Linked DNA regions of Kluyveromyces lactis. The protein of the gene in region 3 interacts with the protein of the main gene of each other region in a pairwise test. Links are inferred from orthologs where the notes say so. Each region holds a gene or a part of one and is shown on either strand. Other genes may lie near its edges. The genes, in order: FAL1, PLC1 and SGD1.

Region 1 (3,264 bases), on a different chromosome or scaffold from region 3:
CAGTCACTAATCTTTAGAGTTACTTGTTCTTTTATTTAATAATTTATTTATTCTGATATGTGCTCTCACAACTCCCAATAGCAATGGAAAGTCCGGTACTTCTAGTTAAAAACGCTAATGCTGCTACTAATGCAAGCAATCTGGGATTACTCGGACAGAAACAGAATTCGTATACTGTGGATGAGAATACTTGGTTCCTAAATAATATCAGCTTCATATTCGAAGATGATGATCCGAGCCAGCACGACGAAGATCAACTAGATTACGAAAATGTCATCATTATAGATAGTGAGCCGTCTGGCACGGTGAACAATGTAGAAATGCTTAGCGAACGGTGGCAGTTACTAGCTTTTGATCAAAACCCAAGAGATAATTGCATATCACTCACTGTCATGAACGAATTAAGTGCAGATTTGGGTCAGAATACTGATATTTCTGGTTTAGATAACCTGTCTAAGCTGTACCATGAGCGAAACGCTCAGATACGGAAACTACTCGATTCCATAGCTCCGTAAATTGTAGCATATGTATATCTATACATACATATATATATATATATCCCATAGTCTCACGACAACTCTTCTAAATTTGCAGGAGTTGGTTTGATCTTAATTCTATAGTGCGATTCGATCTCTTTCAATTTGGGTCTTTCCTCCTTCGTGATGAAATTTATTGCAACACCTTTACGTCCAAACCGTCCGGATCTACCAATACGATGGATATAGTTCTCTAGATTATCTGGTATATCGTAGTTTATCACCAATGAGATCTGCTGGACATCGATACCACGAGCCCACACGTCTGTCGATATTAGCACCCTGGCTTTTCCACTCCTGAAATCATTCATCACTTGATCACGTTCTTCCTGTTTCATGTCACCGTGCATTGAGGACACAGAGAAATTCGTCTGTGTCAACTTCCTGGATAACCAATCCACTTTTTTCCTTGTATTACAGAATATCACACATTGTGTTATCGTTAACGAATCGTATAGATCACAGAGTGTATCAAACTTCCATTCTTCCTTTTCTACATCCACATAATATTGCTTTATCACGTCCAAGGATATCTCATCCCGCTTAACCAATATCTTCACCGGGTCACTCATGAACTTCTTGGTGATCTCTAATATATCTTTACTCATTGTAGCACTTACCACCACGACTTGAATCGTCGGTGGTAACTTGGTGAAAATGTCGTAGATTTGTTGTTTAAACCCCAAAGTTTCTCCGAGTAGTTCATCTGCTTCATCGAGAACTAAGATCTTACAGTTTCTAACGTTCAATACTTGTCTCTTGATCATATCTAGTACACGGCCCGGTGTACCACTGACCACTTGACAATTTTTCGATACTTTCTTGATATCTTGTTGTAAGGCCTTACCTCCTGTGCACGCATGTGCTGTAACGTTCAAATAGTCTCCTAGGTTAGATATCACAGATTCACTTTGACTCGCTAGTTCTCTTGTTGGTGATAAGACCAATGCTTGTAACTCTTTGCTCTTAGAATCAATTGCTTGTAATAATCCAATGGTAAATGTGGCCGTCTTACCGGTACCAGACTGTGCCTGGGCAATCACATCTTTTCCTGAGATAATCTGAGAAATGGCTCTAGACTGAATGGATGATGGATATTCAAAGCCGTAAAAATATATGCCTCGTAACAAATCCGGTTTCAAGTTCATCGACTCAAAAGTGGCAGATACCTTGAGCTTCTTTGAAGTCTTAAACTTCAACTTCGAGTCATCATCTCTGTTGAACGACATTGTTGATGTGATGATTCCCTTTCTTAACAACAGTAACTCCCGGTTACACTTCACTTGGACCTACCGTTGCAGCCTCTATTTCAATGCATCTCATCGCATCTCATCTTATCGTTGTGCTTGCCAAATTTTCCATTTTTTAAAGGTTTTAAGCTGAGAACCGAAAGTTCAACAACACTTTAAGGTGTCAAATTACAAGTGTATGTAAATAACTGCAGAACAACTGGTCGAGTGGCTCGATCTAGTGATTATTTAGATCAGATTAGTGGTAGTGCGTGCTTTCTTCCCTTGTTTGCTTTTGAACTGCACCATGTTTCGTGATAGAACTAATTTGTTTTTATCCTATAGGAGAACTTTCCCCCATCAGAGGCTTTCGAGTACCAAGCATCTACGATCGAATAAAGATTTGGAGAACCAGCCATTCATTGGTAGTGACGATGGTAACAATGATGAAGATATGGTTGCTATGGATGATTTCTCCCGTCAATTACCGCCAAAATTTTTCGATTTAACGTTCCAAGTGGATGAGTCGTTATCTGCAGTAGATCAATTGTTGCTACAGTTGACGAAACTATATCAAAAGAACTCTTTACCAGGATTCCAGGACAATAAGCAGGATGAGGAGGAGATTGAGCAGATAAGTTTCCAGGTAATTAAGAGATTCCAAGAATGTTTTGGTGTTATCAAGACTCTTACGAGAATTAAGGATTCTCAATATTCGAATGGTAAGCAGCTAAGCAAGGACGAGTTAAGGATATTGGATAACCTAGAAAAGAACTACGCTTTGAAAGTGCAAGACAAATCGCAGAAGTTCAGAATATTACAGAATAATCATTTGAAGTTTTTGAATAAAGATGATTTCAAACCACTACCCACTACGAAATCAAGTAACGATACATTGATGTTGTTGGAGGAAGAAGTTGAAGGAGATGAAGTCAATAACATCGACTCATATTCAAAGCAGACTTTACAAAAACAGAATCAGAAGTTACAGGATAACAATCAGCAATTTTTGCAACAAAGAGATGAGGAAATTACACAGTTAGCGAAAGGTGTACTCGAAGTTAGTACTATTTTCAGGGAAATGCAGTCTTTGATCATAGATCAAGGTACAGTGGTCGATAGGATCGATTATAACTTAGAAAACACGGTTATTGAATTAAAGCAGGCCCAAAAGGAGTTAGACAAGGCAACGCACTACCAAAAACGGAGTCAAAAATGTAAAATTATTCTATTTCTATCTTTGGTCGTTCTAGCGTTATTCCTCCTTGTCATGCTGAAACCTCATCACCATACTATACGAGAATCAGCTCCTTCAAAATCTCACAAACCTCCTGGATCACAAGTGGAGGTCAATTCTCCTAATGGAGACCCGTTGCTGGATCCAGAAAGTAATGTAGAATAAAAATGGTCAAATATTAATGAACTTGCTTATGATGGAGAAACTGCATCGAACTTCGAAAACAAATTTTGATATCGTGATAGAAGTAAACGACCACTGT
Region 2 (4,411 bases), on a different chromosome or scaffold from region 3:
TATACCCTTGCTTCAAATAATTCAACCGTACACACGTTGTTGCGATAGTTTGCGTGGAGTTCTTGACTGTAAACCGCACGAAGTTGAACGTAGTGTTTGTAAGTGTACACTCGAACGACGCATTCCACACGGGACTGAAGCCGTTATCACGGAAGCATTTTGTCGAAAATAGTTGCGGTGAACTAAGGACAGGTACAGATACTGCTGGAGGAGCAGATGGAGTACTGAGTATTCCGTCTTCCGCGGACAAACCTGAAATAACAGTGGTTCCATTACTTTCACAAAGTGGTTCAGTCTTACCGCTGCTGCCGTTGCTATCAACGCGCTTGGTTGAGGTACTAGTAATGTTAGCAAAAGTACCATTTGAAGCATTACTCATGCTAGTAATTCCGGTAGCATGGGTAGAGTTATTGGAAGTATACCCCATTGGCTGCAAGCAGTTGGTAAGGTGAAGTGATTCCATGGTATTGTCAGTAATGAGTTCGATTTCTACGAATGGTGCTAGTATCTTGCAGTTTTGTAAGGATAACATCTGGCCAGAAATTACGTCCAAATGGATATGAATCTTCTCCCGTTTGAGCCTTTCCATAATTACTGGAATGTCCTTCATTTTATGTATCTCTTTTCGCAAGTGAGCGGGCTTCAAAACATACCCAGAATGCCAGATGGAATTTCTATCTAGTGAAACTTGGAACATTGCATGGTTCAATTGTTGTCCCAGGTCATACGTCTGCCAGTTTGTTGCGACCATTTGTACTCCTTCTTTCCAAAATCGTATTGGGTTGAAATTGGAGGATTTGTACCGCAACATGTGCGGATAGATTCTCATTAAATGTCTGCGGTTATGCTTGTTGATAGCGAGTTTTTGAGTTTCATCTTTGTCAAGATTGATAAACTTCTTCTCACTTAGTGAGAAGCAATGCGTAGTGGTTTTTGATTCAGGCAACGAAAAGTTTCTGAATCTTACTCCGTGAATCCCAGATATTTCATGAACCTTGTCTGATATCATGATCTTTGTTGATAACAATAACGATTTGTTGTTTCTCTTTGTTGTCACTGGAACTGTTGTCGTATTTGGAGAAGTGCTACTGGTAGTACTTTTTTGTAAGCCCCGCTTCTTGATTAACCGCATGTCATTTGTTTCAGAAAGTGATTCATGAGAGGAAGAAGACGTATAGGATGAAGTTGATCCACTTATAATTTCAGACTCTACAGCATGCGTCTTCTTACTTTTCAATATAATGCGATTTTTCAGCTGCTCTGGTGATAATAGTGAAGTGTTTGGTGGAATTACGAATATAAGATCTCCCAAAATTTCCTTCATAATTTTCGTTATCATTAATTGGTAATCCTTCTTACAGTGGATCTCTAGAGATACAATAAGCGGATAAGGTGAAGTGATAAACGCATATTTTCGTATCGTTTTAACAACATCTTCTAAGGGGATTGACTGTGTGAAAAGACCATGGCATACCACAGGCCCATGATCTCCTTGCCATATGTCTATTTCGATACAACGGCATCCTTGTTGCAAAGCACGAGTATAAGCTTCGACACTTACCTCGTCCACCACTTGCTTCCCCATAAGATAAGTGTTATGAGATGATGATATGAAATATTCGTTTAGCGGTCTAGAATAATCTTCTTCGAATAATTGTAGGAACGGTTGTTTTGTTAAGAATTTTAATAAACCCTCAACATCTAAAAGTTCATCAGCGGTGCAATACTTTTTGAAAATCTTATAAGCATTAGTCTGTGATATTACTTCACCTTGAACGTCACATATGAACTGGTAAAAGCTTTGAAAGTCAACCACCTTAGTATCCTTATTTTTCATTTGATTCCAGATTATTTCAATCTCCGGCCTAGCTTTTAAGTACTTGACAAAATCTTGGAATTCGGGGAAATTAAGCAAACTGTTATTGTTAGTGTCCGCTTTAATGAAAAGTGCGTAAAGGTAGTTATCAGAACAGTAGATATGATATCGGTTGCAAAGTCTCTTCACATCCGCGAAACTTAACGTATCTTTGTCCTGGTCTTCTTTCTTTGTGGAAACACTGGTCTGCCAATGAATATTGGCGAATTGTTCATTGTTTGGAACTGCAATATCTTCCATTAGTTTCCTCCTAGAATTCACCAAATTTACTGTCGTTTCATAAAAAGATTTGAATACTGCAGCGTCCTCCGCAATAACATGTAAAGCCTTTAATCTGTTTTTGTTCACTGAATAGATGATAGTACACCAAAGGTCCCGTGAAGGACAAGGAACATTGTACATATCCATATAATTGGTAGCCATATCACCACTCCGTATATCTTTGATGGTATCAACGTATATCAGCTTTTTTCCGTTATTCCAACTTATTGTATTCTGGTCTATATGGAAGGTGTACCGAACACGTTTCCGTCGTGTCACCTTAAGTAGAGGCAAGTCCAATGGATCTGCCGAGAAGGACCCAAACCCAGAATCCGTTGACTCTAACCTGAGGTTGCTCGACAATGCATATGTGAGAGGGCCACCAAGTTGGGACGTCTTATTTTTGTTCGGGTTATTATTAGAATTTCCATGCCCATTAAAACTAGGTCTTCTAGAAAGAAAGCCCTTGATGCCCTTGTATATATGATCATACACAAAGGATTCCTCACTTCCCGAGGAGGGAGCAGTACTCTTCGAGCTCATATCACTATTGGACCCATCTTCCAAAGAAAGGCTCCTCAAAATGCTTTGTGGCATAATAGCCTGATGTTCATCATCCACATCGTTGAACTCAAGCCTCATCGAGGGTTCAACGAGACGTTTCTGACTTGTCATCATATAGCAGGAAACCATAAACGGATCCATTGTGTATCCGAGTATGTGGTAGCAATCAAGATGTTGTAGCACTTCTTAAACGGTACCTTGAAAGCAGTATGCTTATTTTACCCCAGAGTTCAGATCCTGTACATAAGAGAGTCGAAAGCTGTTTTGTCACGGTTATGATTTATTCGATATTGAAAGGAAAACAGGACACAGAAATAAATGATGCCAGGTAACAGGAGGAAAAGAAGAACAGGTTATGTCTTGCGATCAACTAGGATTTCAAAACGTAATTCACGTGAATACAGTCGATCGATACACTTTGAATGTATCTTTCAACCATAGAGCTCCCTTATGCAATAGTATCCCGATCACGTGCGGAGCTCCATCTATAAGTTCAAGAAATACGAGATCCCGTCTCATGCACTGGCGCATCGAATTGAAGCACTTCTCATGATCACGTGATTAATTTAATGAGCAGCATGATTATTTTGAATATTCTGGAATATATATATCAATTATGCATGCACTTGGTGTTCCCTGCCGAGGCTACTGCTTTCCTGTGGATGTTCCTGGGAAATGAAGTAGCCGATTCTATGCGATACGACATGAACCTCAGTTATGTCCTTTAACACATAGATTGATATATTTGGTCTCTTTCAGAAGCCATCACCAATTCAAATATGTATCTGGACAATACTCCGTGACAAGATTCACTAGTTCAACATATGCGCTATAAGTACTGTTCTACATATTTGCCGACCTGGTAATAAACCCTTCCATCAAAAGGAAGTGAAGATATGTTGTCATCTACAAAGTTAAACGTACGCCCATAAAAAATGACATGTCACTCACTCTCGCTTACTATTATGCACTGCTTATTTTAGCTACTCTTGCTACTGCAACCGCAGTCCCTCAATATACATTCTATGAAGACCACAATGACTTCCGTGTCTCATACAATCTCCCTACTGATGTTCGGGATAAATACAACATATTACGCGATAACTCATCTTTAAACTATTCAATGATTGGCAATTACGGCGTTGCCACGTATGTTAATTTAGTAAACATGTTACCTAAATCAATTGAACCTATGAAGATAGGTGAGACTATGAACTATCATATTAGAAATAATATATCAGATGTTAGCAGCGTCATTGCTGCATTGGGCCTCGACTGTGTAGTTCTTGATGACAAGTTAAATGAATTCTTTAATAGTACTCCAATTAGAAAATCTTATGATGATAGTTATATCTCCAAACGTAATGAACAATGTTCAGACGGATGGTGGTTTAACCATTATGATAGCCTTATTAAGATGTACGAAAGAAGAGGTAATTTAAAGGCATGGTTAAGAGAACACTTTTGGATAAATACAACTAGCTTCATTAAATTAGGGCGGAACATGGCGACAGTTTGTAACTATATAGCTGGCGCACTTAAGCGTGGCTCAACCAAGACAAGTTGCAATGGCTTTTCTTACTGGTTGAACCTTGATGCACTTGGTGAAGATAGATTAACATATATGGTGGGAATTGCGCCTTTCACATCTGGAAAGAATTGTGATACACAGGTTTCGATTGATTCCATCAAGGCCCTTATTTCTAATTG
Region 3 (4,390 bases):
AGTGCAGCATCTCTGCATAGTTCTTTTAAATCGGATCCTGACATCTGAGATGTGCATTGTACAATGTAATCCAAATCGAAATCGCGAGGGTCTGACTTTGTATCCTTCAAAAACACTTTTAGTATTTTATGACGTTGTTGTGCGTTAGGCAATGCAACAGGGAATCTTTTAGGTAATCTTCTTAGGAATGCAGAATCGATATCATTGATCCTATTCGTGGCTCCAAGTACCATAACCTTCCCATTGGAGGTAAGACCATCCCAAAGAGTCATAAACTCGGCTTTCAACATAGATGTCACCTCATGATCTGATGAAGCACGCTGTCTTAAGAAGGAGTCAATTTCATCGATGAAAATGATACATGGTTGAATCTTGTTAGCCAAAGAAAACATGGCATCAACGATCTTATTGGATTCACCGTACCATTTGTCCATTATAGAAGACATTCTGATAGATATAAAATTGGCTCCACTTTCGTGTGCTAGTGCTTTTGCTATCATAGTCTTACCACATCCTGGTGGTCCATACAAAAGAACACCCTTTGGCGCCTCCAATAATGCACTTTCGGAGAAAATTTCCGGACTTGTTAGAGGGTAAATGACACTTTCTGTAAGTTCCTCGATAACGTCTTCTAACCCACCAATATCTTCAAAAGAAACATCGATATCTTGAGGCGTAATGACAGAAGCAAGTACGCTACGCTCGTATGCATTCAAACTGACATCATCCAATTCGGGGTTGGCAGCACATAATCTTTGCCATACTAACGATTGTCTCTCCTTCTTTTCTTTCGAGTTACCTGATAAAGGACCTCCTTCAGCCTCTGTTAGTAGTCTATTCACCAAATAGTACACTGAAATTGCAGTTCCGAAGAGAACAGATAAATCGGTAATGGTCTTTAAGTCAATTCTTGGAGCCATTTTTCCTGTAATGTAGCAAGAATGATAAAATCAGTTTTTTCCCTGGTTAATGAATGGCTTCTTATCAGAGAGCTTCTGTATATCAAACGTATTCTCCAATGGATGTAATCGCTGTTCGGTCTCGCCGTGTGACGTTGCCACTTGTTACTTGCAAGTTCAATCACTGTATGTGTTCGATTGTGTTGATTCTTTAATTTCGCAAATAGTTCAAAAAGAAACCTTTAAAAAATGTGGAACTTGAAAAATTTAGACCATGCGATGAGCTTCATGTATGTTTATTGAACAAAACCGCTATCAGCTGGGTTGGATTGGGTTACCAAGGCTTCTTTGTTCCGAAATTTACCAGTTTGATTGAAGACTGCAGCTGATATTCTCGAAAAATCATCATATTTACTTATCCTAGCTCTGTTGCTATCATTGTCAAAATAGTCCAGGGCCAATTCGAAGAGATCGTAACTAATTATTTTACTCCGAGCTCTCTTACTAGATTAGAGCAAACGTCAATTGTTGGGACAACACATTCGAGCTATGAGTAAGAAACATGCTATCAGATTACCGGGAGTGTTGTTGGATGAGCTCAAGGGTCAAAATTATGATGAAGAGGATAAGAGATATCAGTTTCCTAACGTGAAGAAAGTCCAACGCAATGGTAAAAGAAAAGCTCCTTTGAGCAGAAAAGAACAGAGAAGACAAGAACGTGAGAGTAAGAAAATAAAGAGGTCTGGAAATAATATTCAGAAAACGTCTACTTCATTGAATGTTGAATCAGCAAAGAAAGATAGACAAAATGGTTCTACAGCCGTAAAATCATCTCTTAAGAGAGAAAAAGTAAAACTTGGGATTCAAGTCAAGCCAAAACAAGTCAGATTCTCCGAGTTCAATGAGGTGAAAGAGATTTCGTCTGATGATGAGTTATCAAGTGGTGATTTCGATGATTTCGATGAAGACGATCTGAATGAAGAAGAATGGGAACAACTACGTGAATTAGAAGACAGCGACGAAGAAGAAGAGGATGACGGCGGTGACGACGATGACGATGACGATGACGATTACGATGAAGAAGTAGAAGAAGAAGAAGAAGAACCTCTTACGGCTAGAGAAACTATGGCGAAACTCAAAGCTTTAAAGGAAAAAAAGCGACAAGTGAACCCATCTGGAAGTGAAATGGCAGTTGATGATGCCCAAAATTCATCTGAAGATGATGAAATACTTAATGAAGAATACTCAGCCGATGATATGGATGATGATGAAGAGTGCGACAGTGGTTTGGAAGAAATGAGTGTAGAAGAAACAATGGCAGCTTTGAAGGCAATGAAAGATAAAAAGTTACAAGCCAAGTCTTCCAAATCTACCACCACTGGTACTGTAGAGAAAGGCTCTAATAAGAATAACAAAGAGTCTGGAAAGAAAGAACAGTCTAAATCAAAGTCTGAGATTTACAGTCCATTAACACCAGAGGACAGAGCAGCGATTGAAAGAGATGAACTGGATATGAAATATTATGCTGGCAAGTTGGGCTTGAAAAACGGTAAAAAATTGCGTGCCACAGATGAATACGATGCTATTGGAGGTTTACTAGAGGGTCTTGAGTATTTTGAAGACTTTGGAGATGATGAAAGTGGAGAGGAAAATGTAGAAGATGATAGCAATGTCTCAGACGATGGTGAAGATGAACTAATATCGGAAGATGATGAAGATGAAGATGAACAAACGGAAGAGGGACAAATCGAAAACCCATTTTCGTCTGATGATGAGTTATCAAGTGGAGACTTTGATGAATTCGACGAAGACGACTTGGATGAAGATGAATGGCAACAACTTCATGAATTAGAGGGGAACGCTCCATCATCTACACGCACGAAGCAAAAGGAGAACATTTACGCCGCCCCAGTCATCGAAGAGAATAAATCTTACGTACCACCATCCTTGAGAAGAAAACAACTTGAGGAATCTGACTCGGAGACTAACAAGGAATTGAAAAGAAAAGTTAAATCAGCTCTGAATAAACTATCAGATTCAAACAGTGCTATAATTGTTACCTCCTTGAACGAGCTCTATGATAACTATGCAAGACAATACGTCAATGATGCGATTAACAATCAGATGATCGAGGTTGTTGCACAGAAGAATAAATTATTGGACACTTTTATCATGAATTATGCTGGTGTAGCTTTCAGTATATGGAAGCTAAGGGGAACTGAAGCCGGTGCTTCCTTTATTCAAGCATTGGTCCAGAAATTCTTAGAGATTTATAGTGAACAGATACAGTCGGCTAGAAATTCAAAATCAGACGAGCCAATAATGCTGTCTAAGGAAACGACTAATTTGCTGACTTTGCTGGGCTATTCCTACAACTTCGGGCTAGTTTCCAGCAGACTGATATATGATATCATCAAGCTATTAATTCAAGAACCCAATGAATATACAACCGAACTTCTGTTAAGGATCATCTCTGTTTGCGGCCCTTTGATACGTGGTGATGATCCCAGAGCTCTAAAGGATATAATCACGGAACTATTGGCCAACGTTAAACAGATGAAGCAAACTCCAAGGCTAAACTTTTTGTTGGAAACTCTGTCCGATTTAAAGAATAACAGGTTAAAGCCTTCAGTTCTTGCTGCCAATCATCAGACTTTAAAAAAGGGAATTTTGGGATCACTTCGCATCTCAACTTCGGCATCTTCGGAGCCTTTGCTGGCTTCTCTAGAAGATATAAAAAACGTGGATTCTAAAGGTAAGTGGTGGTTAATTGGAGCATCATGGAAGGGTAATCAAGAAACTGCTTTCGATGAGGCTAATGTCAAAGAAGACAGAACGATTGCTAATCAAACAAATATAAAATTGGATGATGATTTACTCTCTGAAATGATTGATTGGAATGAGATAGCGAAACAACAGAGGATGAACACTGATGTGAGAAGAGCTATATTCGTTAGCATAATGTCTGCAGAGGATTATTTGGATGCATTCGCTAAGATAGAAAAGCTGAACTTGAAGAGTAAACAGAGTCTTGATATTTCACGGGTGCTGCTACATTGCTTGTCAAACGATGGCACATCGTCCGGATACAATCCATATTATTCATTATTAGCAGGAAAACTCTCAGAGCATAACCACAAACTTTTAAAGTCTTTCCAGTTTTTATTCTGGGAAATTGTGAAGAAGTTCGAGCTTGAGACACATTCAGATGATGAGGAAGATACCTTGTTCAGCAATGAAGACACTGTTGATGAAGACACTAGATTACAAAGATTGGCTAAGCAAGGCCGATTCTTTGGCCATTTAATAGCAGAAGGTCACTTGAAACTTGATGCTTTCAAGCATGTTCCGTTAATGGCAGGACTCAACTCAGATGGAATAATCTTCTTTGATATTTTGCTTTTCCAGTTGTTCCTTTCCGAAGGTAAGGCAGCCGAAATAAAGATCAAACGAGATGGAAAGAAAACATTTGAGTATAACTCTGATGGTTT

Evidence for each region.
Region 1: the proteins of SGD1 (region 3) and FAL1 interact in binary tests that used the Saccharomyces cerevisiae proteins (3 or more experiments, as listed by UniProt). The link is inferred for Kluyveromyces lactis from reciprocal best matches to the Saccharomyces cerevisiae genes SGD1 and FAL1.
Region 2: the proteins of SGD1 (region 3) and PLC1 interact in binary tests that used the Saccharomyces cerevisiae proteins (3 or more experiments, as listed by UniProt). The link is inferred for Kluyveromyces lactis from reciprocal best matches to the Saccharomyces cerevisiae genes SGD1 and PLC1.

The regions. Positions count from the first base shown.
Region 1 is NC_006037.1:926,491-929,754, forward strand, and holds FAL1 (ATP-dependent RNA helicase FAL1), read right to left. Parts: upstream 1,766-3,264; coding exon 569-1,765; downstream 1-568. Other genes in the region: ATG31 (Atg31p), read left to right, coding at 84-515; t-SNARE syntaxin TLG2, read left to right, coding at 2,073-3,167. UniProt on the Saccharomyces cerevisiae protein: ATP-dependent RNA helicase involved in 40S ribosomal subunit biogenesis. Required for the processing and cleavage of 35S pre-rRNA at sites A0, A1, and A2, leading to mature 18S rRNA.
Region 2 is NC_006040.1:60,279-64,689, forward strand, and holds the start of PLC1 (phosphatidylinositol phospholipase C), read right to left. Parts: upstream 2,843-4,411; coding exon 1-2,842. Other genes in the region: KLLA0_D00660g (uncharacterized protein), read left to right, coding at 3,642-4,411. UniProt on the Saccharomyces cerevisiae protein: The production of the second messenger molecules diacylglycerol (DAG) and inositol 1,4,5-trisphosphate (IP3) is mediated by activated phosphatidylinositol-specific phospholipase C enzymes. Required for cell growth, osmoresistance and expression of GPD1.
Region 3 is NC_006038.1:541,571-545,960, forward strand, and holds the start of SGD1 (Sgd1p), read left to right. Parts: upstream 1-1,448; coding exon 1,449-4,390. Other genes in the region: protein-degrading AAA family ATPase MSP1, read right to left, coding at 1-920. UniProt on the Saccharomyces cerevisiae protein: Involved in osmoregulatory glycerol response, probably through its interaction with PLC1 which regulates the expression of GDP1.